6 linked regions of the Callithrix jacchus genome follow. Each later gene encodes a partner of the first gene's protein in a complex. Links are inferred from orthologs where the notes say so. Each region holds a gene or a part of one and is shown in the gene's direction. Other genes may lie near its edges.

Evidence for each region.
Region 2: RPTOR (region 1) and RICTOR share a complex: the UniProt entries of both Homo sapiens proteins name them as parts of the mechanistic target of rapamycin complex. The link is inferred for Callithrix jacchus from reciprocal best matches to the Homo sapiens genes RPTOR and RICTOR.
Region 3: the proteins of RPTOR (region 1) and MTOR are in contact, whole or in part, in a cryo-EM structure (PDB 6BCU), measured with the Homo sapiens proteins. The link is inferred for Callithrix jacchus from reciprocal best matches to the Homo sapiens genes RPTOR and MTOR. Residues at the interface, in NP_065812.1 of Homo sapiens: Phe278, Lys282, Cys283, Ser285, Leu286, Pro288, Gln380, Ala381, Asp383, Leu384, Asp387, Glu411, Gln412, Thr414, Ala415, Val418, Trp419, Thr421, Met422, Arg427, Asn428, Glu431, Gln432, Lys973, Ile974, Asp979, Leu980, Glu981, Ser982, Lys986; in NP_001373429.1 of Homo sapiens: His597, Thr600, Pro632, Val644, Ser645, Gln646, Thr647, Ala648, Val649, Ala653, His686, Ala688, Gln689, Glu691, Met721, Asn722, Pro723, Ala724, Phe725, Met727, Pro728, Phe729, Arg731, Lys732, Leu734, Ile735, Leu738, Thr739, His743, Tyr771.
Region 4: the proteins of RPTOR (region 1) and EIF4EBP1 are in contact, whole or in part, in a cryo-EM structure (PDB 6BCX), measured with the Homo sapiens proteins. The link is inferred for Callithrix jacchus from reciprocal best matches to the Homo sapiens genes RPTOR and EIF4EBP1. Residues at the interface, in NP_065812.1 of Homo sapiens: Arg54, Arg305, Thr317, Asp321, Phe337, Arg338, Leu341, Ala344, Arg348, Leu437, Gln438, Leu440, Leu441, Ser442, Gln443, Arg446, Tyr475, Lys478, Leu479, Gln481; in NP_004086.1 of Homo sapiens: Glu111, Ser112, Gln113, Phe114, Glu115, Met116, Asp117, Ile118.
Region 5: the proteins of RPTOR (region 1) and ZFYVE28 are in contact, whole or in part, in a cryo-EM structure (PDB 9F43), measured with the Homo sapiens proteins. The link is inferred for Callithrix jacchus from reciprocal best matches to the Homo sapiens genes RPTOR and ZFYVE28. Residues at the interface, in NP_065812.1 of Homo sapiens: Arg54, Arg305, Arg306, Thr317, Asp321, Phe337, Arg338, Leu341, Ala344, Arg348, Leu437, Gln438, Leu440, Leu441, Ser442, Gln443, Arg446, Pro474, Tyr475, Lys478, Leu479, Gln481, Ser482, Ser483, Ala484; in NP_066023.2 of Homo sapiens: Arg399, Val400, Phe401, Phe402, Met403, Asp404, Asp405, Val406, Glu407.
Region 6: RPTOR (region 1) and MAPKAP1 share a complex: the UniProt entries of both Homo sapiens proteins name them as parts of the mechanistic target of rapamycin complex. The link is inferred for Callithrix jacchus from reciprocal best matches to the Homo sapiens genes RPTOR and MAPKAP1.

The regions. Positions count from the first base shown.
Region 1 is NC_133506.1:136,242,674-136,246,667, forward strand, and holds the start of RPTOR (regulatory-associated protein of mTOR), read left to right. Parts: upstream 1-1,194; 5' UTR 1,195-2,000; coding exon 2,001-2,162; intron 2,163-3,994. UniProt on the Homo sapiens protein: Component of the mechanistic target of rapamycin complex 1 (mTORC1), an evolutionarily conserved central nutrient sensor that stimulates anabolic reactions and macromolecule biosynthesis to promote cellular biomass generation and growth.
Region 2 is NC_133503.1:166,483,959-166,488,169, forward strand, and holds the start of RICTOR (rapamycin-insensitive companion of mTOR), read left to right. Parts: upstream 1-1,411; 5' UTR 1,412-1,433; coding exon 1,434-1,482; intron 1,483-1,652; coding exon 1,653-1,700; intron 1,701-4,211. UniProt on the Homo sapiens protein: Component of the mechanistic target of rapamycin complex 2 (mTORC2), which transduces signals from growth factors to pathways involved in proliferation, cytoskeletal organization, lipogenesis and anabolic output.
Region 3 is NC_133508.1:49,110,241-49,113,740, reverse strand, and holds part of MTOR (serine/threonine-protein kinase mTOR), read left to right. Parts: intron 1-32; coding exon 33-161; intron 162-857; coding exon 858-1,102; intron 1,103-2,450; coding exon 2,451-2,666; intron 2,667-3,010; coding exon 3,011-3,216; intron 3,217-3,500. UniProt on the Homo sapiens protein: Serine/threonine protein kinase which is a central regulator of cellular metabolism, growth and survival in response to hormones, growth factors, nutrients, energy and stress signals.
Region 4 is NC_133514.1:38,881,781-38,885,772, forward strand, and holds the start of EIF4EBP1 (eukaryotic translation initiation factor 4E-binding protein 1), read left to right. Parts: upstream 1-1,192; 5' UTR 1,193-1,254; coding exon 1,255-1,399; intron 1,400-3,992. UniProt on the Homo sapiens protein: Repressor of translation initiation that regulates EIF4E activity by preventing its assembly into the eIF4F complex: hypophosphorylated form competes with EIF4G1/EIF4G3 and strongly binds to EIF4E, leading to repress translation.
Region 5 is NC_133504.1:190,791,461-190,795,410, forward strand, and holds the start of ZFYVE28 (lateral signaling target protein 2 homolog), read left to right. Parts: upstream 1-1,150; 5' UTR 1,151-1,336; coding exon 1,337-1,444; intron 1,445-3,737; coding exon 3,738-3,878; intron 3,879-3,950. UniProt on the Homo sapiens protein: Negative regulator of epidermal growth factor receptor (EGFR) signaling. Acts by promoting EGFR degradation in endosomes when not monoubiquitinated.
Region 6 is NC_133502.1:174,287,735-174,291,874, reverse strand, and holds the start of MAPKAP1 (target of rapamycin complex 2 subunit MAPKAP1), read left to right. Parts: upstream 1-1,340; 5' UTR 1,341-1,599; intron 1,600-3,525; 5' UTR 3,526-3,585; intron 3,586-4,140. UniProt on the Homo sapiens protein: Component of the mechanistic target of rapamycin complex 2 (mTORC2), which transduces signals from growth factors to pathways involved in proliferation, cytoskeletal organization, lipogenesis and anabolic output.

The DNA.
Region 1 (3,994 bases):
CCAGGTGCTTCTGACATCAAAGCCCCAGTGCAGAAAGGAAATGAGCCTCTTTGCCTTGTCCCCGATGCCAAAGCCCCAGCGCAGAGGGGAAATGAGCCTCTCTGCTTGTCCCCTGCTTTGCTGGTCGGCCTCAAGGGTGGCACACTAGACATTCGGTTTAGCCGAAGCAGGCACTGCATGTTACGTTAGGGTTTATATTCCAACTTACGCAGTTCTCTGTATGTTGTACACGAGCCAAGGTTCCTGGATTGAAAAAGAGTCACACAAGAGGCTTGCCTCCACGCACAGAAATCCAGAGTTTTAGATATCTGCACGTGAAGCTATATCAACATAAGAATAAACTACTAATACCAAGAAGTGGGGAAAAAATTTAAAAGGATAAAACTCTCAGAAATGAGATAGATCAAATTTTAAAAAATGTATTCGATGAAATTTTTTTTCACTTTCTTTCTTTTTCTTTTTTTTTTTCAAGACGGAGTCTCGCTCTGTCGCCAGGCTGGAGTGCAGTGGCGCGATCTTGTCTCACTGTGACCTCCGCCTCCCGGGTTCCAGCGATTCTCCTGCCTCAGCCTCCTGAGTAGCTGGGATTACAGGTGTGCGCCACCACACTGAGCTAATTTTTGTATTTTTAGTAGAGACAGGGTTTCACCATGTTGGCCAGGATGGTCTCGATCTCCTGACGTCGTGATCCGCCGGCCCCGGCTTCCCAAAGTGCTGGGATTACAGGCGTGAGCCACTGTGTCCGACCTCTCACTCGGTTTCCTATGAAAAAATTAAAGAGAAAATCTGATTGACACTGTGGAGGCTACTACACTAAAAAAAAAAAAAAAAAAAAAAAAAAAAAGCACTATCTTTTCTAATGCTATAAATGGTTTTTCCTGAAGCTTTTGCCGCTTTTTCAAAATCTGGAAGAAACAGGGTGGTCGATTCCTTTAATTTGAGGAGCCTGTAACAATGTTTTTGAAAAAACAAACTGACAGTTTGTTTTGTTTTGTTTTGTTTTGAAAATGACAGTTTCATTTGTAGGACTGACTTTAATAACACGCCTCTATGGAACGAACGGCGATGAACTGGGGAAAATGGAATTATGGTAACCGAGGTAACGGGGTCGGGGACTCCCCTTCCTCTGCCTCTTGCTGGTGGCGCGGCGAGAACGCTCTGAGGAGGTTTGGTCTGTTGGCCACGCCGTAGGTCGCGGTGCATTCTGGGTCCTGGCAATATGGCGTCCTCCTTAGTGTGCTGATGAGAGGAGTTTCACTGTACCTCCAAACCAGAGGGCAAAACTCCCCTGACCCAATAAGCCCACATTGTCCTTTTTCTCCGTGGTTCCGTGTCACCTGTTTCTCAGGACTCGTTCTCACGCATCAGAGAGCCTCGGGGCTGAAGGCCAGGACCAGCCAGGCCGCGCGGACCTAAGGTTGAGGAACCGGGTGCGGGCGAGCACGATGGGCCGGTCCTGGCTCTGGTTGCAGCAGCTCAGGCGAGTGCGGGACCCGCAGGGCTGAGAGTGGCTAGAGGAGACCCAAGGCCCTCTGAACCCGATCCCTTGGCCGGAGACCTCAGCCCAGTCGGCCCAGTGGGCGAACCAGCACCAGGAGCGGCCTGCCTGTCCTCGGATCTGCTGAGGCGTTGGAGGCCGAGAGCAGGGTCATCGTGAGGCCTGAAGTCTCTCACGCTTTTGACAGCTCGGCTCGCAGCCCCTCTGGAAACGTACAGCCTCAGGAGCAGCCAGTGGCTTGGGACCTGGGGTGGTGTGTGTCTGCGGAGCTTCTTGGGCTGCCCCATTTTCCAGCGGCCCCCTCCCCGCCTCCCGCTCAGAGTTAGAAATAAGGATCTCAGACTTTTTGCCTGAGTAAGGGTCTCCGCACTCTCCATCCCTTTCTTTTTCGATTCTCCGTTTTGCTGTTTCTTATTTCACCAATTCTGGTACACACTAGTTTTTAAGGCTGGAGGTTCTCGAGCGCTTACTGCCAAGGACTCCCCCACCCCCTCCCCCACTGATGGAGTCCGAAATGCTGCAGTCGCCTCTTCTGGGCCTGGGGGAGGAAGATGAGGCTGATCTTACAGACTGGAACCTACCTTTGGCTTTTATGAAAAAGAGGCACTGTGAGAAAATTGAAGGCTCCAAATCCTTAGCTCAGAGCTGGAGGATGAAGGATCGGGTAAGTGGATTCTGATGACACCCCTTGAACTTGGTAGTTTCTCCAACAACGAAAGTTTACAGCTCGAAAAGTGTCCTTAGTAAAGCGCCAGCATTTCCCCTAAGCCACACGTTGTAAGTCGACTAGAAAGCAAAAGCCATTTCAGACTGCAGTTTTTGATTGAAAATGGGAAAGGCTGTTTTGGTTCGTCGTTATTCACTGTGCAGTGTTAATTCAATTCCAACTAAGTTCTAATTCAGACAATAAAAGTTAAGCAAATTTGAAAATACAGCATTGCGAGTGTTACATGCTCTTTGGCAACTACTTAGTTCCGTTAACACTGAGATTCACAACGTGCGATATAATGCTTATACCCACATGGTTAGTCTACTTGTAAAAATATCCAGGGTGGGTGGGTGAAGTGAAGAAGTCTGATATACTAGATTAGGAAACAAGAATACTGGAAAATGTTCAACTAGTAACAAATTAGTGCAGTTATTTTAAAGATACAGTGAACTTCATTCTAGTCTTCTAAACAGTTTGTCTTGAAGCTAGACTTCCCTGCTTTTATGTAGTGTCCTGTTGCTGTAACTTGGAGATAGAATTTCTTTAATTGTGCAGTTAGGGTATGAGGGGTTGAGACTTGGGTGCAGGTTTTAGGGTGTCCTCATGGTGTTGGAGTGTGGAGAGTGACTCACAAGCAGCTGGTAGGAAAGAAAGCCGAATTTTGCTGAATCTTTCCTTCATAAAACACTATCAATTTCCTAGTCTAAAAAGCAAAAGGGTGATACTGCTTCTCCTCTGTGGACACTTACAATTTGTCTTTTGGTAAGTATTTTCTCCCTCCAGGCTGCTTTTAATGATTTGCACATTTCAGTGGTATGAAAGAGGAAGTTGGTGTTACAATGTTTGATTTCCTCTAGGCTTATGTATATGTTTATGGAATGTTATTGTTTTTTAGTATATGATGTTGGACATAGATAAGATTATACTGCTGGGCTGAGCATGGTGGCTCATGCCTGTGATCCCAGCACTTTGGAAGGCTGAGGTGGGTGATCACCTGAGGTCAGGAGTTTGAGATCAGCCTGGCCAACATGGTGAAACCCCGTCTCTACTAAAGATACAAAAATTAGCCAGACCTGGTGGTGGTACCTGTAATTCCAGCTACTTGGGAAACTGAGGCTGGAGAATTGGGAGGCAGAGGTTGCAATGAGCTGAGATCGCACCATTGCACTCCAGCCAGGGAGGCAGATTGAGACTGTGTCTCAAAAAAAAAAAAAAAAAGATTACACTTCTGGTAACTCTAGCCAGAAGTCACCAGTAACCAGTACTTTAGTTACTGGGTGGGCTTACTTATAAAAGATTAGGAAAATTTGTTTCATCCAAAAGCAGTTTAAGGAGTTAAATAAGTTAGTCATTGGTGGAGGTTGCATAAATTCTGTCTTATGGCCATCTTCGTTACTAATAATATAGTTAAAAGGCTTTGTGGTTGCTGTACATTTATGAAAAGACTTTTTTTTTCATTCTGTGTGTAGGGTAGTGGTTTTTTTTTGTTGTTGTTCTTTTGAAATGTGGTTCCCTCCTCTGTTCTAAACCTATGTTCCAACTGTTTGAAACTGATTAACAGGTAGATTTTTGAACTTTTAATTAAAACATTAGTTTGTGAATGATCAACAATTCCTAATAAGCTTTTCACAGGTTGCTAAGAGAAACAAAAGTTCTGTTACTTTTAGTAACTATGGAGTTTGCAACTTAGAAAGGAGCCAGGGAGAATGTTTGCTGTTTCTGTTTCCAGTGGAGAAAAACAGCAGCTAATGTCTTCAGTTGAGTTTGTGAGTCTGGAATCTTGTAGT
Region 2 (4,211 bases), on another chromosome or scaffold:
ATTTCGTATGTATTTAAACTTTATAAAAACAGAAAATTTGTAATCTTTGCTTAACATCATGAACATTATTTCCTATTACTATTACTAAGTCTACCTCGTCACTTTAAATGGTTGAGATAATTTACATAATCCCTAACTTTGGACATTTACGTGTTTCCAAATTGTTATTAATAACTTCAATAAATATCCCATATACATATACATATATATATATATATATATATATACATGTATTTTAAAGCAAGCAGAGAATTGGAACAAAGAAGAAATGCAGGGCATTTACTCATCTAACAGGTATTTACTGAATACTTATTTGTGCCAGATATTGCATTAACTAGGAGCTGGTAAAACAGAATGGTTAAAGCAAGATCTCCACTTTTAATTAACTTTCAGTCTTATGGAATAGAAAGATGAGCTGAGGAACTGGAGGGGACAAATCACTCATCCTCTCTTTAAAATAAATGTAGTTTAAGAAAGCTACTGGGTCAGTGGGCAGATGTATATATATTAACTAACTAAGCAGTTTCTAGAATTAAAATCCCTAATGTTAATAGGCTTATGCATACAATAGATTAATCCCCAACATCTGCATGAGCCACGCTCCTAGGACCTACAGAGACAGAAAAGCCGGACACAATACCCAGCAGTCTGGCCTCGATTCCTAGCAAAGGAAACCCCTCTCCCCGGCCTCCCGGCGCTGGCGCGATCCCACCGCGGGGACTGCCGCCCGCGTCCCCCTCCGATGCACCCCCTTCTCGCGTCCTATGCCTGGCGGCCACAAAAAAAAAAAACAAAACCGCCCAACCGCTTCCACTTGGAGAAGCCCTCCTAGCCGAGAGGGGCGTTCTGAAAGATCAAGGGCAAGGCTGGAAAACAAACTTTGTTATGTGTTAACTTGGTCGGAGCAAAGCGATTCCAGGAAGGGAGACTAAAACTGCGCAGCGTTTTTATAAAAATTGTTTCAATGGATGAACGGGGGAGTGGGGCCGTCTACGGCAGGGCTTGAGAGCAAGCAGGACACTCGCAGGCCGGCGATGAGCAGGTGGCCCGCCGGTCGCATCTCGGCCTCCTCCTCCTCCTTGCTCGCCTCCGTTTGGACGACTGCTTCCGCGGCGGCCAGAGGGGAGCATCCTTTACGCTGCCAACTCGCATCAATGGGACTTTCCTCGTGGGAACTGCCCCTCCCGGCGGACTTGCCCTCCGGGTCTGGCGTGGGCGGGCAGGCGGGCAGGCGGGCGCTGCGAACTCAGTGCAGACCTTGGATTTGTTCCGCGCTCCCTCCGCGCCGGGACCGAGCCTACACCACCCGCACAGCCGTCGCCGCCAAGGGGGCGGGGAAGGTGCCGCGGGGGGCGGGCGCGGCGCGCGGGGAGGGGAAGGGGTTCTCGCGCGATTGGGCGAGGTTTCCGGTGTTGTGACTGAAACCCGTCAATATGGCGGCGATCGGCCGCGGCCGCTCTCTGAAGAATCTCCGAGTACGAGGTAAGCCCGCTGCAACCCTCACTCTCCACCGCCCGGCGCCCGCCACCCCCTGGCACTTGCCTTCCCCTGGCCGTGGGTGGGGAGCGAGCCGGGGCGCTGGCCGGAGCCAGGTCAGCCGCAGCTGGCCTGCGAGCGAATCCTAACTGGGGTTGTGTGTCTGTTTCGCGCAGGGCGGAATGACAGCGGCGAGGAGAACGTCCCGCTGGATCTAACCCGAGGTAACGCGGGGCGCCGCGGGCACAGGCGAGGGCGCGCTGCTGGGGAGGAGCCGGGCCCGGGGCTTGGGGCCAGAGGCGGGGGCGGGCCCCACACGGGACCGGCGGGGTGCGGTGGGCAGAGCCGGAGCCCCGCCTGCCCGCGGGAGCCGAGCCCGGGGCCGCCTTGCCGGACCCGCCTCGCCGGACCCATCCCCCTTCCCGGCTCCCGCTTCCCTGGCCCGAGCCCTTCTCCGGGCCTCCGGCTGCTTGCGGGTGCGGGGGAGCCCCGAGTGGAACTCGGCGGACCCGCCGACCCTCTGGGCTCGAACTCCGGCGGAGCGGTTTGCACCTATCCCGGAGTCCGGCAGCCAAGCTGGGGGCAGCCAGAGGGAGGTAAAGGCTGTTATTTAGGTTGCAGGAGGATGTTTGAGGGATGAGCGACCACATCCTGCCCTCCCCATCCCCGGAGCAGAAGCCGGACCTACTCGGTGTTTGCTGACTGCGTGACTCTTTTCCCCTTTGCCCACAGCCCTGTGGGGACCCGCAGCATTGATAACTCGACAGTGAAACCTGGAACTGGTCATTACTGCTAACTGGTTTATGCTGTTTCCCTTCTGCTTCCCTTTCCCGGGCCGCTGGGACTGTAGTTGGCAAAAGACCGCCCCCTCGCCCTGCTGCAGGTTCATTGTTTACCTTCTGCAGTGGAGATGGGTTTGTTTACACCTTTCGAACTGGGGAAACCCGGGTTATATTTTTAATGACCTAATCCGGTTACTAGCCAGTGTTTCTTCTATCACTCACAGTACTAGAGTTTATTCGACATTATCTCGTTGAAGAGTTAGTAGTTACGTACAAGATTCTTTTCTCTTCCACGGTAAACAGGATTTAGTCTACTGATTCTGACGAAGTCATACACGGGCTGTAGCTTGAAGTGTAACCGGGCTAAACTGTGCAGAATCCGTTTCTGAGATCTGTAAAACGCCTTAGGAAGTAAAAACAACAACAACAAAACTTGTTGTAAACATTCTGTATGAGCTATTTTTTACCCTATACTGTGCTTGACGTAATGACTCTTATCTACAGTAATTTGTCAAACCTGGGCTCGTTGTTCGCAATGGCTCATCTCTAGAGGGAAAGCATAGTGTATTTTCTAATTTGTTTTATTTTGCATATCACAGTGTAAGATTACTGTTTTAAAAACTGAATGGTCAGCTTTCATTGGCTACAAGAGTACATGTTTGTTACTTAATATTTTATTCTGAAAGTTCAAGGACTTAGTTTCGGGTGAACTAAGACCTTTTGCAAGCACCGTTTCTAAAATATAATACAATGTAATAGAGCTTAAATCCTGGAAATGGCTGCTAATTAGATTATCAATGCGCTAATTTCCAACGGTTTTTCAGCAGATAGGTTTTGAGAATTAGTATAAAAAGACGTAAAGCTTTTGACTTCTGTACAGCAGTTTGGAAACTTGACTAAATATAACACACGTGAAAAATCTATATAAAATAGATTTACTAGTAAACTTCCTAACAAATAAGGATAATTCCTACAATTTCAGGTTTGTAAAAGATGTAATTAGTGAGTGATTTAATTTTTATAGCGGCATTTCTGTTTTTCGATGAAGGTGAAAGGAGCACTTAAAAAACTTGAGTTTATCTTGTGCATTAAAAACCTGCTTAGATGTGGTGCTGGAAATACATAGTTGTTTTAAATTGAGTTCGTCGAGCTCCTATATATAGTGCTCTGTTTACTATTTAAAATGCTGTATTAACTGAGCATTTAGTAAGCACCTGTGTCCATAGGTGTTTCCAGGTTAATATAAACAGTGCAGAAAATGCTGTTTCTGCTTGCCCTGACAAAATGTACTTCAGTTTGGTATAAAATATACATAGCCACTTAAAACTGATTGCAACAATTGTGAGAGATTGTATGAGATCTGTATTTCTTAATCATAAGAAGTTTAGAATTAATCTGAATTAGTCATTTTATAGTGTTACTATTGTTTTAAAAAGTTGCTGTTGTGACAAACATTTCATTGTTCAAAGTAGGCTTGAAGAAAGTTCATGAGGAATTAAAGTTTAGTAATAATTTGAGAACTGTGAGGCAGTTTGGGTTGCAGCTGAAGGGCAGCTGTTTGTGGATTAGATTACAGTATGTAAAAAGATAAAGTTTGGGGAATGAAAATTTTTTTTTGTTTAACGCCAAGGCAGTGTTTGCTTTTATTCTCATTATTTTAATTTAATCTTTGAGAGATTCATTGTATAGATACCTAATGAAGCTCATTATAAAATAGAGGTCATGGTCATTATAATACCTAAAGGAGCCATCAATGTGTAGTGAAAACATAGTTGACTATAAAATCACATCATTCTGGGTTATAACCTCAGCTGTGAGGTTTAATAGTTGGGTGATTTGGGGCGTTATTTGACCTCGCTTAACCCCTGATTTCTTCATTTCTAAAAGAAGAGATAACTTCAAAGGGTTATTAAGAATGTGAAAAGTGAATGAGCTAGTTGTTCATTAAAGTAC
Region 3 (3,500 bases), on another chromosome or scaffold:
GTTTCAACTAGTCACTGTCTGTTTCTCTGCAGGAGGCAGAAGGCAATGCAAGTGGATGCCACAGTCTTTACTTGCATCAGCATGCTGGCTCGAGCAATGGGGCCAGGCATCCAGCAGGATATCAAGGAACTGCTGGAGCCCATGCTGGCAGTGGGACTAAGGTGGGTGTCAGAAACCTGAGCTTGCCCTGTATCAGTGTGAGGTTTGGTCCGCAGTGTTGGGACTGGGTTAAAAGAGGGAGGCATGGTTGTTTGCACATTCAAAATGTGTTTTGCTTAGACAAAACACATAGGCTAGTACTGAATCCTAGTTTCATCACTAGCTAGCTATGTGATCTTGACTAAGTTATTTAATATCCCCGAGCCTCATTTTTTTTTATCTGAAAAGTGGGTACAGTAGTAATTCCTGTTGTCTAAGGTTGCTGTGGATTCATGATACAGTCATTCTTAGGACCATGCCTGGCGTATAGGAAATGTTCAATAAATATTTACAAATATTGTTTATATTATTATTAGGCAAGTTGCTTAAGCTCCCTAAACTATAGTTCTTTTCATCTGTAGAATAAGGACAGTGTTCTTGATCTGCTTGCCAGAGTGTTTGTTGAGTCTTGGTATTCTGTAGTGGCTGAATTATAATGAGCAAGTCTTCCTGTGGCAAGAACCAGAAACTCATAGATTGTTTAGAGACCTGAGACTAAGCAAAGAGAGTTTACACATTTATTCTCATTTCATAGTATCCTTTCTACTCTAAAGAACAGAGGCCTGATCCCCTTGCTGGGAGAGAAAGGCTGTTTCTTCCCAAGAACAGACTGAGTGTCATGTGCTCAACCCTTATGTGACTGGTTTCCTTCCCTTTAGCCCTGCCCTCACTGCTGTACTCTATGACCTGAGCCGTCAGATTCCACAGCTAAAGAAGGACATTCAAGACGGGCTACTGAAAATGCTGTCCCTGGTCCTTATGCACAAACCCCTCCGCCACCCAGGCATGCCCAAGGGCCTGGCCCATCAGCTGGCCTCCCCTGGGCTCACGACTCTCCCTGAGGCCAGTGATGTGGGCAGCATCACTCTTGCCCTCCGAACACTTGGCAGCTTTGAATTTGAAGGTAAGAAATTACAGTGGCTCTTGTCAACATAGTGAGAGATGCTGGAAACTTTGGGAAAGGAATGAAGGTATCTAGGATTCCTGGATCTTGCCGGGGTCCTAGAGACAGGGTAACTGATTCTGTAGCAGCTCATCCTTCCTAGACTCTTTCCATGTATTGGTAATTCCTATTGTTTGTTTCTTGTCCCATTCTGAGTTTTGGGGCAGTTGGTTTGAGGGAAAGTACACATTGATCCAAAGAAATAATGCTTCAGAGACAGATCCCCCTCACATCCTCACTTTTCTACTTCCTTGTAGCTGAGATGGTATGTAATGATTTAGAATGTATAACAAGGGCTTTTGGGTGTTTCCATGTCTATAGCAGTATGATTTCTTTTTTCTTCCTTTTTTTTTTTTTTTTTGAAACAAAGTCTCTTTCTGTCACCCAGGCTTGTATGCAGTGGCACGATTTCAGCTCACTGCAACCTCCGCCTCCCGGGTTTAAGTGATTCTCCTGCCTCAGCCTCCCAAGTAGCTGGGACTACAGGCACGTATCACCACACCCGGCTAATTTTTGGATTTTTGGTAGAGATGGGGTCTCACCATGTTGGCCAGGCTGGTTTCGAACTTCTGACCTCAAGTGATCTGCCTGCCTCGGCTCCCCAAAGTGCTGGGATTACAGCTGTGAGCCACTGTGCTCAGCTAGCGATATGATTTCTAAAAGTACTTTATTGTGTAGTTCTAAACTGCAAATAAACCCACTAATACCCCACAGAGGTATATTTCAAGAGAAAAGTTCATACTTTTGAAATTTAAGATCATGTAGGTAGTATTGGTCAAGACTGGGGAAACACGCACAGAAAGCCTGAAGATACTGTCTGGAGACAGCCACCTGTGGTTTCTCTATTGCAGTTCCTCCGCTTACACTGATTCACACTTGTGATAATTTATTTCTAGTGAATAGAAAGTAGCTATGCTTAAACCCAGCTTACGTAGACTCTTTGTCTGGTATTTAGATCTGGGAACCAAAACAGGCAAGGTAAATTTGACAAGAATTGCATTACCCTCTGAGAATGGTAGGGGTTGAGTTGGAATAAAATGAAATAATTTATTCTTTGAAGGGAATATAAAAAGGCTAGGGTTGAGAGATACTTTTTATCTCTCCCTGTTCCCTCACCACCCCCTTTTGCCTTTTGCTGATTGAAAGTCCACTTGTTATCCTTTAAGAATTCTGGGTCAGTATCATTGATCAGTATCTGGTTGAAAGTAGAACTAGTAGCCTCAAAATGGAAAATTCACCTAGCAAACTGCAGACCTGCCTGTCCACAGCAGCAGTGTTTATTCTGTTTTCTCTCTGCCTTTCTATCCAGGTCACTCTCTGACCCAATTCGTTCGCCACTGTGCAGATCATTTCCTGAACAGTGAGCACAAGGAGATCCGCATGGAGGCTGCCCGTACCTGCTCCCGCCTGCTCACACCCTCCATCCACCTCATCAGTGGCCATGCTCATGTGGTTAGCCAGACTGCAGTGCAAGTGGTGGCAGATGTGCTCAGCAAACTGCTCGTGGTTGGGATAACAGATCCTGGTAAGGCTTCTGAGACAGAAGCCATCTAGGGGAGTTTAGGAGCTTAGGGCAGCTGGAAGTAGCCAGTTTCATCACATGGCCTCTCCAGAGATCTTCGGTCTCAACAAGTTGATATTCAGCTATTTCTCTGCCACGGTGTTAGGCGTGGCTACTCCAGCCTGTTGGTGTAAGATAATGTCTTTAATTCATTTGTCTTTACTCCTATGAGTAGAGAAAAGAATGACAGAGGATAGATGAGAGAAAGCATCTGGAATCTTCCCACTATGCTGATAGCAGTGGAGGTAGAGAAGGGCTGGAGTGATGGGGTCATGAAGAAATGTTCAAAGGCTCCATTGCTCTTGCAGACCCTGACATTCGCTATTGTGTCTTGGCGTCCCTGGATGAGCGCTTTGATGCACACCTGGCCCAGGCGGAGAACTTGCAGGCCTTGTTTGTGGCTCTGAATGACCAGGTGTTTGAGATCCGGGAGCTGGCCATCTGCACTGTGGGCCGACTCAGTAGCATGAACCCCGCCTTTGTCATGCCTTTCCTGCGCAAGATGCTCATCCAGGTAACCGGGATGATGGTCAGACCCACAGGCAGGGAGCACAGGATTCTCACTGTGAGAGCTGCTTGAGGAAGCAGAGTTGAGGACAAGGATGGGGGAGAAAGATTGAGGTACCTGGGAAAAGTCACCTTTGTCTGCAAGGGTTCACATGTTTCCCTGGCTTTATAGTGGCAATTCCAGTGCTCATCACCTCATGAGCCTTTTGTTAGTATGAGTCCCCTCATGCAGCTCTTTATTCTTCCTGGCAACTCAGTCACCAGTGATCCCATTTCTTGGCCCTCTTTGCT
Region 4 (3,992 bases), on another chromosome or scaffold:
TATCGTTCCAAAAAAACAACTCTAATCATGTCATTCCCCCGCTTAAAAGAGTTCTGATGTCTCCTGCCTCTCTAAGACAACGTCCAAGCACTTTGACATGATTTGAAAAACTCAACGACCTGACCCCAATTTCCTTTTTGAAAAATTATTACGTATTTTTTAGAGATAAGGTCTCTGTCCAAGGAGGAGTGTAGTGGTGTGATCACAGCTCACGGGAGCCTCCAACTTCTGGGCTCAAGCAATCCTCCAGCCTCAGCTTCCTAAGCAGCTGGGATTACAGGTGCATCACCCAATTTCCCTTTCGAACCGTCCTCTCTTCTTCACCCTCTTCCCCACAACATGTGCACACAATGATAGGAACTTCTCAAACCCAACAAGTTTTTCCATCCTCGGTCCTTCTTGCATTTTTCTCTCTCCCCTTGAACATCATCCATGCATGCATCCATTCATCCAGCAAAGAGTACCTACTAAACATCCGTCAATTCAACCAAGAAGTACCTACTAAACCTCAGGCAGTGGCGTGGGTATTGGACCCAATTCAGGGGCTATCGGGAAACCTTTTGGACAAACTATTACTCCTCCCCTACGCGTCCCCCCTCCCGGCCGCCCCCAACTCTAAATTTAGCTCCCAGGACGCTGCTGGTTGGTTCACTCCTCCCACCCCTTCTCTTCCTCTCTAAAGGCCAGGAGCGGAATTGTTAGTCCCTCCACACCCATCCCCATCAAGGTCAAGAAATTGAGGTGGGGTGAGCATGACCAGTCAATCCCACTTTCTCATCTGAGGAACTGAGGCAACGAACAGGGAGTGCCAAAGGGTACACCCGGCCTGAAGTCTTAATGCAGAAACCGGGCCTTCCTGCAGTGGGCCGGGTCAGCTCGGATCTCCGCGCGGTCCTGAGTCACCGCCCCCAACCCAGACAAGGATTAACATAGGCGAGCTATTCCGCCCGCCACCCAACCCGGGTCCCTGCCAGAGTGGCGCCGAGGGACCCGAGAGCGGAGGAGCAGTCGCTGGGGGGCGGTATGGAGGAGCCCGTGAGCAGGCGGGCGTGGATCGGGGGGCGGCAGGAGAATCCACGTGCAAGCAGCGGCCTGGAGCTGGGTGGGGCTGCGGCGCGGACTACAAATCCCAGGGGCGTGGGCCTGGAGAGGCGGAAGGGGCGTCCTGGGGCGGGGCGGGCCGGGGCGAGGCGGAGCGAGGCTGCAGGCGCGGGAGGGCAGGGAGAGGTTCGCGGTTGCAGCGCACAGGAGACCATGTCCGGGGGCAGCAGCTGCAGCCAGACCCCAAGCCGAGCCATCCCCGCCACTCGCCGGGTGGTGCTCGGCGACGGCGTGCAGCTCCCGCCCGGGGACTACAGTACGACCCCCGGAGGCACGCTCTTCAGCACCACCCCGGGAGGTAGGCGCTGGCTCGGGGACGCCGCGTGCCGGCTCCCGGGAGGGCGGGAGGATTGGGAATCGCGGATCGGACCGGGCGTCCAGGCTAAAGGGTGCTGTGGCTGGGAAGAACGGAGAAGGGGCGTCGGGGAGACAGCGAGGGTCATGGAAGTGACCGCCCGGCTGTCCTCCGAGTGCGTCGTCCAGACCGGAGCTGCAAACTGCCCCGTTCGTTTCCTCTTTCTGTTAGGTGTCAGACAGCTGACACCTAACTAACAAGCACGCCTCCAGGACTGCCACGTGCCGAGCTGTGCTGCCCCTTGTGGATGTTGGGGGCGCTCCCCAGGCGGGATAGGGCGGGGTCAGTGTGGCCCACGATCCAAGAAAGGCTCGGCCTGGTGTTTTTATGGGATGAGTTGGGATAAATTTATTATTTATCTGTTGGGATAAATGATTTCTACAGGGCCCTGATTTTTTCCCGAGGCACCCCTAGTTTTGCGTTGGACACTCGCGCTCTGACGGAGGTTTGGGTCTGCGGGTGCTCCCCTGCTCCAGCAGCACCTCCCGGGCACCTGTGGCACGTTCCCCATTTATGCAAGTGAGATCTCCGCGGAGGGGCCTGTCGCCACGGGCCGGGCTGTGCAGAAAAGCACGTTCTTCTGTCCGGGGGGAGGAGGAGGCACCGTGTGACCTCCCTGGGAGAGGATGAGGAAGAGGAAGCTGAGCTGGCACGGGTGGGGTGGACAGCCTCGGGCTGCCCTCAGGAACCTGGCATTCCCTCCCAGCCCCGGAGCCGCAGCGCACAGGCGCTGATGAAACCTACGCTCCTGTTTGCATGATGAAATAAATCCTCGTGGCTCACCACTTCGGTCCCATCCTTGCACTGCCCCCACTCCTTTTGCTCCTCTGCCTCCATCCTCCTCCACGCTGCTTTCCAAACTACTGGAAAACGCGACAGATCCCGGCGCTTGGCTCGGTGGCGGTGGGGGCCAAATGCTTATTTTCTCAGGCAGATTCTGCCCCACCGGCAGCAAGCACAGCCGGATCCGAGGTCCTCTGCCGTTCGATCCAAAACATACACTGTTAGAACGGTTAGGGATCTTGTCCAACTCTGCCGCCTGTTCTACAGAGCCAGGCACTGAGGCCTCAGAGCTGGAACACGTGTCCATTGTCACACCGTTTTCCCAGATTGGGCAAGAAATAGCAACCAGGCAGAGAAAGGAGGAATGCTTCCTCTTCTGTTAGAAATGATCCGAGGAGAAGCTTGCAGGCGCTCTTGTTGCCACTCCCGACTCATCCTCTTTCACTTGTAGTCCATGCTGTTCTCCTTTGTCTCTGTCACAATGGTCTACCAGGCCAATTCCTGACACTTTTGGAGTTCTTTCAACTGAGGGGGTAAGTGTCTGCTGGATTCGTTCAGGGTGGGCCCTGAGGCTGGCCTGAAGGAACAGGGAGCCTCTTTTTGCACCCTTTGTTGCTGGATTGTTGGGTCAAATTAGAAGCCAGGGATACTGTTTATAGGCACTTCTGGCCGAGGTACCAAGATTCATGCCTGTAATCCCAGCATTTTGGGGAGGAGCCAAGGCAGGAGAATTGCTTTAGGCCAGGAGTTCAAGACCAGCCTGGGCAACATAGTGAGATGCCATCTCTACAAAAAAAAAACAAACAACAACAAAAAGAATGTTGTCCTAGCTACTCCAGAGGCTGAGGCCAGAGGATCGCTTGAGGCCAGGAATTGGAGGCTGTGGTGAGCTATGATTGACCACTGCAGACCTTATCTCTAAAATAAATAATAAATGTAAAATATAGGAACTTTGAATCCACTTTTCACTTTGGATTGGGAAGTGGAGAGTAGTCAGGGGGCTGACAGCAAATCCCACTCACTTTGAAGGTCTTTAGCAGTAGCAGGAAGGGAGAAGGGGCTTCTGCATTGGGACATGGCATATGTTTCTGAGATTACTGGAAGAAGCTAGCAGTGCCAGGAACCTAAAGCCAGCTCACTCTTTGGGGCGGCCTGTGGAGCAGGTACAGCTCCCAGTCCCTAAGCCAGGGAAATCCGGCTTACTTCTACTAAAGTCAAGCAAGCCTGGTCAGCCTCGATTAGCCAAGGTGTGGACTCTTCCTCCAAAGCCCACCTTAGCCCACTTCTGCCAGGGCAGAGAAGCTGAAATGGTCACATCCTGGGACCCTTTGGCTCCAGACCAGAATACTGCCTCTCACTCTTCCAGGTGCATAAGGATAACTGGGGTCTTCATTTAAGGTATATTCTGATTCTGTAGGTGGGGGTGGGGACTAGATTCAGCATTTCTTTTCTTTCTTTCTTTCTTTTCTTTCTTCCTTCCTTCCTTTCTTTTTTTTTTTTTTTTTTGAGACAGGGTCTCCTCTGTCGCCCAGGCTGGAATGCTGTGGTGCGATCTTGGCTCACAGCAACCTCCACCTCCTGGGTTTAAGCGATCCTCCCACCTCACCTCCCTGATACCTGGGACAACAGGCACATGCCACCCATGCTGGCTAATTTTTGTATTTTTTGGTAGAGACGGATGTTACACCATGTTGGGCAGGCTGGTCTTCAACTTCTGACCTCAAGTGATCTGCCCGCCTCTGCCTCCCAAAGT
Region 5 (3,950 bases), on another chromosome or scaffold:
TCTAGCCTGGGGGATAGAGCAAGACCCTATCTCAAAGAAAAAAAATGGGGAGATACAGTTTCCAGACAGTCACATTCTGAGTCCTGGGGGTTAGGACTTCAATCTTTGAACCTGAGGGGCAGTCACAGTTTAGCCTATGATAAGGTCACACAGCAAATCTGCCTCATGTGCCACCAGGCCCACCCCACCAGCAAGCAGCCCTGGCAGTGCGACCTGTGTGCTCAGTGACACCTCAGCTCAAGGGGAGACCTTTCAGAGGCTTCAGCTGCCCCAAGAGAGGAAGGCAGGACCCCTTCCTTCCTCACAGGAGACACCCAGGCTGCCTTCTGCAGCAGGGAATCGGTTTCCCTGCAGGGGCACCAAGCATGCCAGGAGGGGTCAAGTACCAGGCCCATCCCTGAAGGGTTCCCTACGTCCCGTGCCTTTTATTTAGGTGATGAGCACCCCTTTCTAGCTTTTACCTTGCCAAGTAGACACACACCTCACCCCTGCGGGAGCTCGTCTTGACACCTGCTGCACTGGTCCCACAGGGGCACGTTCACACACGCACGCATGTTCATGCCTGCACATACGTTCACAGGCACACAGATACATAGGTGCACGTGCATGTACACACATCTGCACAGCGCACAGATCCACACGCACACAGCCATGCACGGGGCATGCAGTTACCGTACACACGTGCTCACACATGTACATGTTCATGTGCTCACACACGTGGTGGTTCTCAGCCTCTCCAGAGCACAGGAGAGGAACTGTGTGAGTGAGCTGAGGGGATGTGTGTGCACCCGCTCTGTGGTCCGGGGCTTTGTGTGATGGCCCCACCCTCCATCAGCCTTTCACACACCTGCGTTGTGGCTGAGCTGTCTCCTCCGTTTGCCTGACAGCAGGGGCCGTGTTGACCCGGGTGTTGCTGTGAACTCCTTAGGTGGTGTGAGTGTTTTGGTGCCACAGCAGAGAATGATTCTGGGTTCTCTCTGGGGGTTTCTGCAGGGCCCCTTGTCGTGTCCTTTTTCTTGGAGCCAAGATTTAGCTTCTGGGAGCTGTCGTCATGCAGTGCCCTAAATTCAGTACCTGGCCTGTTTGCTGGGCCAGATGGTGTCTCATCAGCTGCAGTTGGGGCTGTGGGACGCATGCGGCAAGGGACTGTGAGGGCTCTGGTCCAGCTCAGTCACAGCCAGGCGTCTGCTGCGGGGCTGGCCCCACCAGGCCCCTGCTTCTCCCACCCTCCCACTTCTGCTATGAAGGGAGCTGGCAGGTTTGGGGCCAGAAGGAAGCCAGTGGCTCTGCTGACCTGGACTGGTGCCTGAGCTGGGTGTCAGGCCCAGCAGTTCTCATGCAGGCCTTGGGCAGGCTGCCCAGGTGGGGCAGGCAACTCCACCTTGCCAAGGGGCTGTGCTCCCTCCTGGTTCCGGAAGTGGCAGGAAGGCTCTTCTGTCCTCTGGTAAGAAGGTGTCGTTCTTGGTTCTTCCCCTCTTCCTTGGGAGCGAGGAGGGGCATTGGCAGGCCCGGGGCCCAGGAGGGGAAGCTGGTGGCCACCCCAGAAGCTGGGTCAGGATTCTGGGGACTGGGCCAGGCATGGTGGCTCATGCCTGTAATCCCTGGGAGGCCCAGGCAGGTGGATCATTTGAGGTCAGGAGTTCGAGACCAGCCTGGGCAACATGGTGAAACCCTGTCTCTACTACAAATACAAAAATTAGCTGGATGTGCCGGCGCACACCTGTAATTCCAGGTATTTGGGAGGCTGAGGCAGGATGATTGCTTGAGCCTGGGAGGTGGAGCTTGCAGTGAGCTGAGATCATGCCACTGCACTCCGGCCTGGGTAGCAGAGTGAGACTCCATCTCAAAAAAAAAAAAAAGGAATGATGGGGGCTACATCCGAGGCAAAGGTCAAGGGTGCAGCTGCTCGTCCGTAGGTTGACAGGCACAAGGCTTAAAGGCACAGCATTCCCTGGGGCTCTGACCCAGTGGAAGGGCTGGAAGGGCCTTCAGGTCTCATGTTCCCTGCCTTCCTTTCTTTCCTTCCAGGCAGTAGAGTAGAATAGAACAAGGTAAGAGTGTCTCCTGCCTCCCAACCCCACTCTTCTTTTCATTTCTTCACAGAGGGTGGGTCGCTAGGTGACTGTGACCTCGTGGCTCTCCGAGGTTGGCTGGGCCATCGGAGAGGATGTGTTTACTTCCAGAAAGGCTCGAGGCGCGGGGACACAGCAGTGGAGCTGAGAGGGTGGGAGCAGATGGCAGCCCGAGCCCACCTCCCATCTCTCATGCACTGCCTGGGGCTGGGTCTGTCTTGCTCAGGGCTGTGTCCCAGGCCCAGACCCGCCCCTAGCTGAGTGGGCACGTAGGCAGCATCTGCCAGTGAGCTTCGGCAGCCTCCTGGGAACAGTCCCAGGGAGGCTTCCCATTGGCTGCCCAGGTCACAAGTGCCTGCCTCATCCTGAAGCCCAGGCGGGGCAGTGGATGGCTGAGTGTGGGTCTGCTCAGCCTCACTGGGGTTTGCTCTCCCCACCCCAGGTGTCTGGGCCAGCGCCTGGAGCTGATCCAGAGAGTGAGGACTGGTGGACCGGGAAAAAGTCAGGACAGAGTGACCCTGGCCAAGGCCACTCAGAGGGAAGGGGAGGGCAGCAGGCCAGAGCACATGGAGGAAACGCCCCGACGGAGATGGGAGTCTGTGGGGACACTGGCAGCACATCCCACTGGGAGTGATTTGGTACCTTCCCCTCTCCTCTGTCTTTCTCTCTGACTGTCAGGAGGCCCTTTGATAAAAGTAGGTCCAGGCCAGGCACAGTGACTCACTTCTACAATCTCAGCACCGTTGGGAGGCCAGGATGGAAGAGCAGCTTGAGGCCAGGAGTTCAAGACAAGGCTGGGCGACACAAGGAGCCCCAACTCTAGAAAAAATTAAAAATTAGCTGAATGTGCTGGCATGTGCCTGTAGTCTCGGCTACTCAGGAGGCTGAGGCAGGAGGGTCTCTTGAGCCCAGGAGGCAGAGATTGCAGTGAGCCATGCTTGTGCCACTGTACTCCAGTGTGGGCAACAGAGCAAGACCCTGTCTCAAAAAAAAAAAAAAAAAAAAAATATATATATATATATATGCCAGGCTCGATGGCTCACGCCTATGATCCCAGCAGCCTGTAATCCCAGCACTTTGGGAGGCCAAGGAGAATAGATCACGAGGTCAGCAGTGTTTGAGACCTGGCCAGAAAAGTGAAACCCCATCTCTACTAAAAATACAAAAGTCAGCCAGGTGTGGTAGTGGGTGCCTGTAGCCCCAGCTACTTGGGAGGCTGAGAGGCAGAGTTTGCAGTGAGCTGGGATTGTGCCATTGCACTCCAGCCTGGGCAACAAGAGTAAAACTCCATCTCAAAAAAAAAAAAAAAAAATTCCCTAAGAGCTACTTTCCTTGCCTGGGACCCCACTCTTCCCAGAGCCCCTTTTCTGTGGGTTCTCCTCCACGAGAGGGAGCGTGAGGATCTTGTGTCCTAAGTGTAGCGAAGCGTCTGGGTTCCCCACAGCCCTGGGGTGAAATGCAGGGGGCCTGGGACCCTTGGGTCAGGGGTTGAGCAGGCAGCCCAAGCCTCAGCTTTAGCTGTTTCCCTCCAGATCCTGGCCTGGAAAGCTGATGAAAGAGCCAGCTACTGCTCAGTGTGGAAGGTCCCAGGCTGAGCCCGCACATGGCCAAGGCGTCCCCTCCATTTCCCCACCCACTCATGCCCCCGGCCCCTCTCTCCTGCAGAGGTCGGACCCGCAGCTGCTTGCCCGGTTCTACTACGCCGACGAGGAGCTGAACCAGGTGGCCGCGGAGCTGGACAGCCTGGACGGGCGGAAGGACCCCCAGCGGTGCACACTGCTGGTCAGCCAGTTCCGCTCCTGCCAGGTGAGCCATGGGCAGCAGAGGCTGGCTGGCCCCGCTGGGCATTGGACAGAGTGGCCAGTCCTCAGTAGAGCG
Region 6 (4,140 bases), on another chromosome or scaffold:
ACCACACCTGGCTAATTTATGTAATTTCAGTAGAAATGGGGTTTCACCATATTGGCCTGGCTGGTCTCAAACTCCTGACCTCAAGTGACTTGCCTGCCTCGGCTTCCCCAAGTGCTGGGATTACAGGTGTGAGCCACCGTGCCTGGCCCCATGGCATATTTATTAGTGACTTTAAAATTGGGCAGGGTTCCCCCAGGACTGAAATTTAACCTTGATTTTTTTCTTTTACTATGGTGCTTTTTTTTTTTTTTGAGATGGAGTCTCACTCTGTTGCCCAGGTTGGAGTGCAGTGGCACAATCCCGGCTCGCTGCAACCTCGGCTCACTGCAACTGCTGCCACCTAAGTTCAAGCGATTCTCCTGCCTCTCAGCCTCCCAATTAGCTTGGATTACAGGCCCTCACCAGCACGCCCAGCTAATTTATTTATTTATTTATTTATTTTGGTATCTTTAGTAGAGACGGGGGTTTTAACCATCTTGGCCAGGCTGGCCTTGAACTCCTGACCTCGTGATCCACCCACCTTGGCCTCAAAAAGTGCTGGGATTATAGGTATGAGCCACCACCCCCAGCCACGCTACGGTGCTTTTTTGAGAGACTTCCCAGAGCATCTTTCGGGTGGGAGAACACTCTCACTGCACTGCCCGAATCCTTTTTCCCCCTTCACTGTGGCTTTCTCCACTGATTTCCTCCGTGAGAGAGAAAGAGAGCAGCGTGAGACAACACTAACTTCTGCCTGTGCCAGTCCTCCTGCATCTCATGGAAATCTCCCAGCAGGACCTGAGGAAGATTACTATCACCGCCATATTACAGGTATTATAAGAGAAATAACTAACATTGACTACATGTTTATTATGTATCAGGCACTGTGCTGGGTGATTTTCAAGCATCATCCCATTGGATACTCTAAAGTTGAAACTATTGCTCTGGATGGGAAAACCCGAGGCTCGGAGAGGAGAGTTGTCACGTCCTAGGACACACAGCAAGTTATAAGAGCTGGCATATCTGAACCTAAGTCTTTCTGATACAGAGGCTAAACTGCCTCATCACTCATTTCTGGACTAACTAAGGGTTTTTCTCCGTGGAAATGGGGAGAAAGAAGATTCGATGGAGAAGCGTAACACTGATTCCTGCTAAAGGCAAATCCAGACACGAGTGCATCTTGCCAGAATTCAGCCTCAGACTCAGGCCTTCTCCTGCATTGGAGAAGCGGCGCGCATGCGCCCGGCCTCCCTCCCGGCCCCGCCCCGCGGGAAGCTGTGGCCGCTTGCTTTCAGCTCTGGGGCTTGCGCACTACGTCCCCAGCCAGAGGCTCCTTCCCGGTCGGGGACTTCCGGAGCGCCGGGGTGTGGTTCCGGGTCGTGTGCGGCTTGGGGTAATAGGGCTGCTGCTCGGCCGGCCGGCGGCGGCGGTTGTGAGCACCACGGGCATGAGGGCGAACCCGGGAAGCGGCAGCTGAGCGGGCCGGGAGGAGCGCCGGTCCCCGTGGATCCCGAGAGTGCAGAGCTCGGGGAAGGGGCCGGGAGGCGTGGGGGAGCCGGGCCCTCCCCTCAGGAACGTGTCCCGGGGCCGACCCGGCCCGTAGTGTGGAAGCAGCTTCAGGTAAAGGTTGCCCCAGCCGCCAGCTCCCCGCTCGCCCGTCAGCCCACCAGCTTGCCCACCTGGCGACCCTCTCACCTCTCCGGTTTCGGCGCTGCTCAGCGGGCCGCCTGCCGGGCTCCTGCTCAGGTGGCCCGGGAGCATCCGTTTCCTGGCCTTTACCAGAACTGGGGACTGTCAGGAGTCTGAGGCGGGTGTGTGATTTAGGGGAAGGGAAGCCCATGGACCTGGTAGTGTTCGGGAGTAGCGGGGGCGGGGTGGGGAGGGTGCAGTTGGCTCCGGCAGTTTCTGGTCTTGCACTTGGCAATATCTAGGTGCCCTGGTCTTTATAATGTGAAAATCAAGGTTTTCAAGCATTGCCTGTGTGGTCCTTTTTCCTTGTGTCCCTTTTCCTCCTCGCCCTAAAGGGGTTAACAGCCTCGCAACTACAGTGCTGCTGAACTTTGATTCAATTGTTTGTTTATGGGAGTGGCAAGGAGTCCTTTAGATTTGTTTAAGGCGGGGGGAAAAGAAGAGCTTGTGGTGTAAACAAGAGTATGATTTTAACCAGAGACCCCCAAATCAACCCAGAAATTGGTTAAAATTTCCTTTTGAATGAGTGAAAAGTAACTTTTGAAGCCCACCACAGCTTCTGGCACTGTGCAAAGCACCATATTGTTATAAACCCAAATCGGCAAAGTTCAAAACTTTCCCAGGTGTGAACAGTCAAATGGAGACACATCGGTTTAAAAAAAGCAGCGTTCTCATTCTCTTGACAAGCAGAAGGGGTGGATTCCTAATGTTAAAACCCACTTGAGCAGAATGGGAGGTACCGTTTTATTCTTTATATTTTATGAGCCCATACAAGGTGCCTAGTAAACACTGAAAGAGTTCTTGATGAAGCAATAATTGTTTTCATGTTTTTCAGTTCACACAGCTGCGGGATGTGAAGCATGCTGGTAGCCCTTTCCCATTCAGCTGAGTGCTCATGCCTACTTTAAATACTGTGTGTACCAGACTGCACTTATATTCCCTTACATCTCGGAATCTGGCTCCTGGTTACCTTCCCAGTTATGCTTGAAAAGGTTTTCTTTTTTGAGAGGGAGTGTAGCTCTTGTTGCCAGGCTGGAGTGCAATGGCGCTCACTGCAGCCTCCGCCTCCTATGTTTAAGCAATTCTGCTGCCTCAGCCTCTCGAGTAACTGGTACAGGCGTGCGCCACCACACCTGGCTAATTTTGTATTTTTAGTAGATATGGGGTTCTCCATATTGGTCAGCCTGGTCTCAAACTCCCAACTTCAGGTGGTCTGCCTTGGCCTCCCAAAGTGTTGGGATTACAGGCATGAGCCACCGTGTCTGGTCAAGGTCTCCTTCTTTAATTACCCTACCTGATCCATTACTCTAAGTAGGATCTCAGTCACTTTTGTTCTTTCTTGTTCCATTGATTTTTTAGGACATTCTCCCTACCCTGCCTAGGTTTCCCCTTTTCTCTATCAAGATGCTTCCCACGGCTCAGCTGAAGTTGGCTGCTCTCAACCAATTCCCGACAACTCCAGCTGGAAATGGTTTTCCTACAGAATTCTATAAGCACTCATTTTATCTACAATTATTTAATTTAGTAAATGTTTACTAAGTATGGATATATACATGCCAGGTACCATGCTAGACAGTGTAGAGATAAATAAGATTCAGTCCTTGCTTCCAGGGAGCTCAATGTAGTGAAACAGAGATAAGGGAAATTAATAATTCTAACAGTGATAAGTACATTGTGTGAGAGTTCTTGTTGTGGCAGTGGTAGTCCAGGAGGGGAATGGGTTATTCACTTTTGAGGGATGGGATGTGGCCAGGTAATGCTTTATAATTTGAGGTAAACTCAACTTTGAGTATTTACTATGTATTGGGTATTATATAGGGATTTCTATTGTTTAATCATTTTAACCTCAATTTACAGATGAGGAAGACTCAATAAATTACACAGCTGGTACCAGACAGAGCCAGGATTCAAAGCCAGGTCTGTCTGATGCCTAAATCTGTGCTTTTTCCATTACATGTCTTGCCTTTGTCTCACACTGTCTCTTTGTGCAAGTAAATATTGAAACAAAAAAGTATACAGGATGAAACATATGAATGTTAAAATGAATGGTACAGAAATCTTTTAAATGCAAAGGCTGTGCTCTTCCAGGGCAAGGAGATGGCAGGTGGATTAGCTCAGCTTTGAATATGAGCAGAGAAGACAGTATAGAAAATAAGCATGGAGTCTGGATTCAATTCCCGGTCCCTGTTCTTACTGGATATGTGACCTTTGACACATAACTCCAAGCATCATTTTCTTCAGCTGGGGGTTGGGTTAGGGAATAATACCACATGGAGTGTTGTGAATATTTATTGAACTAACGGGGATAGAGGGCCTGGTACATGGTAAAGTCCCCCAAAATAAATAGCTATAAGATACAAAGGTATAATGCTTGAGGTATGGTTTTAGAGTGGTGAATGAGTTTACAGCCTGAGTCAAGCAAGTCATTGCTTCTTTTAGCAGGGTAAAGGATGGAAAGTTGGAGGGGCAGTA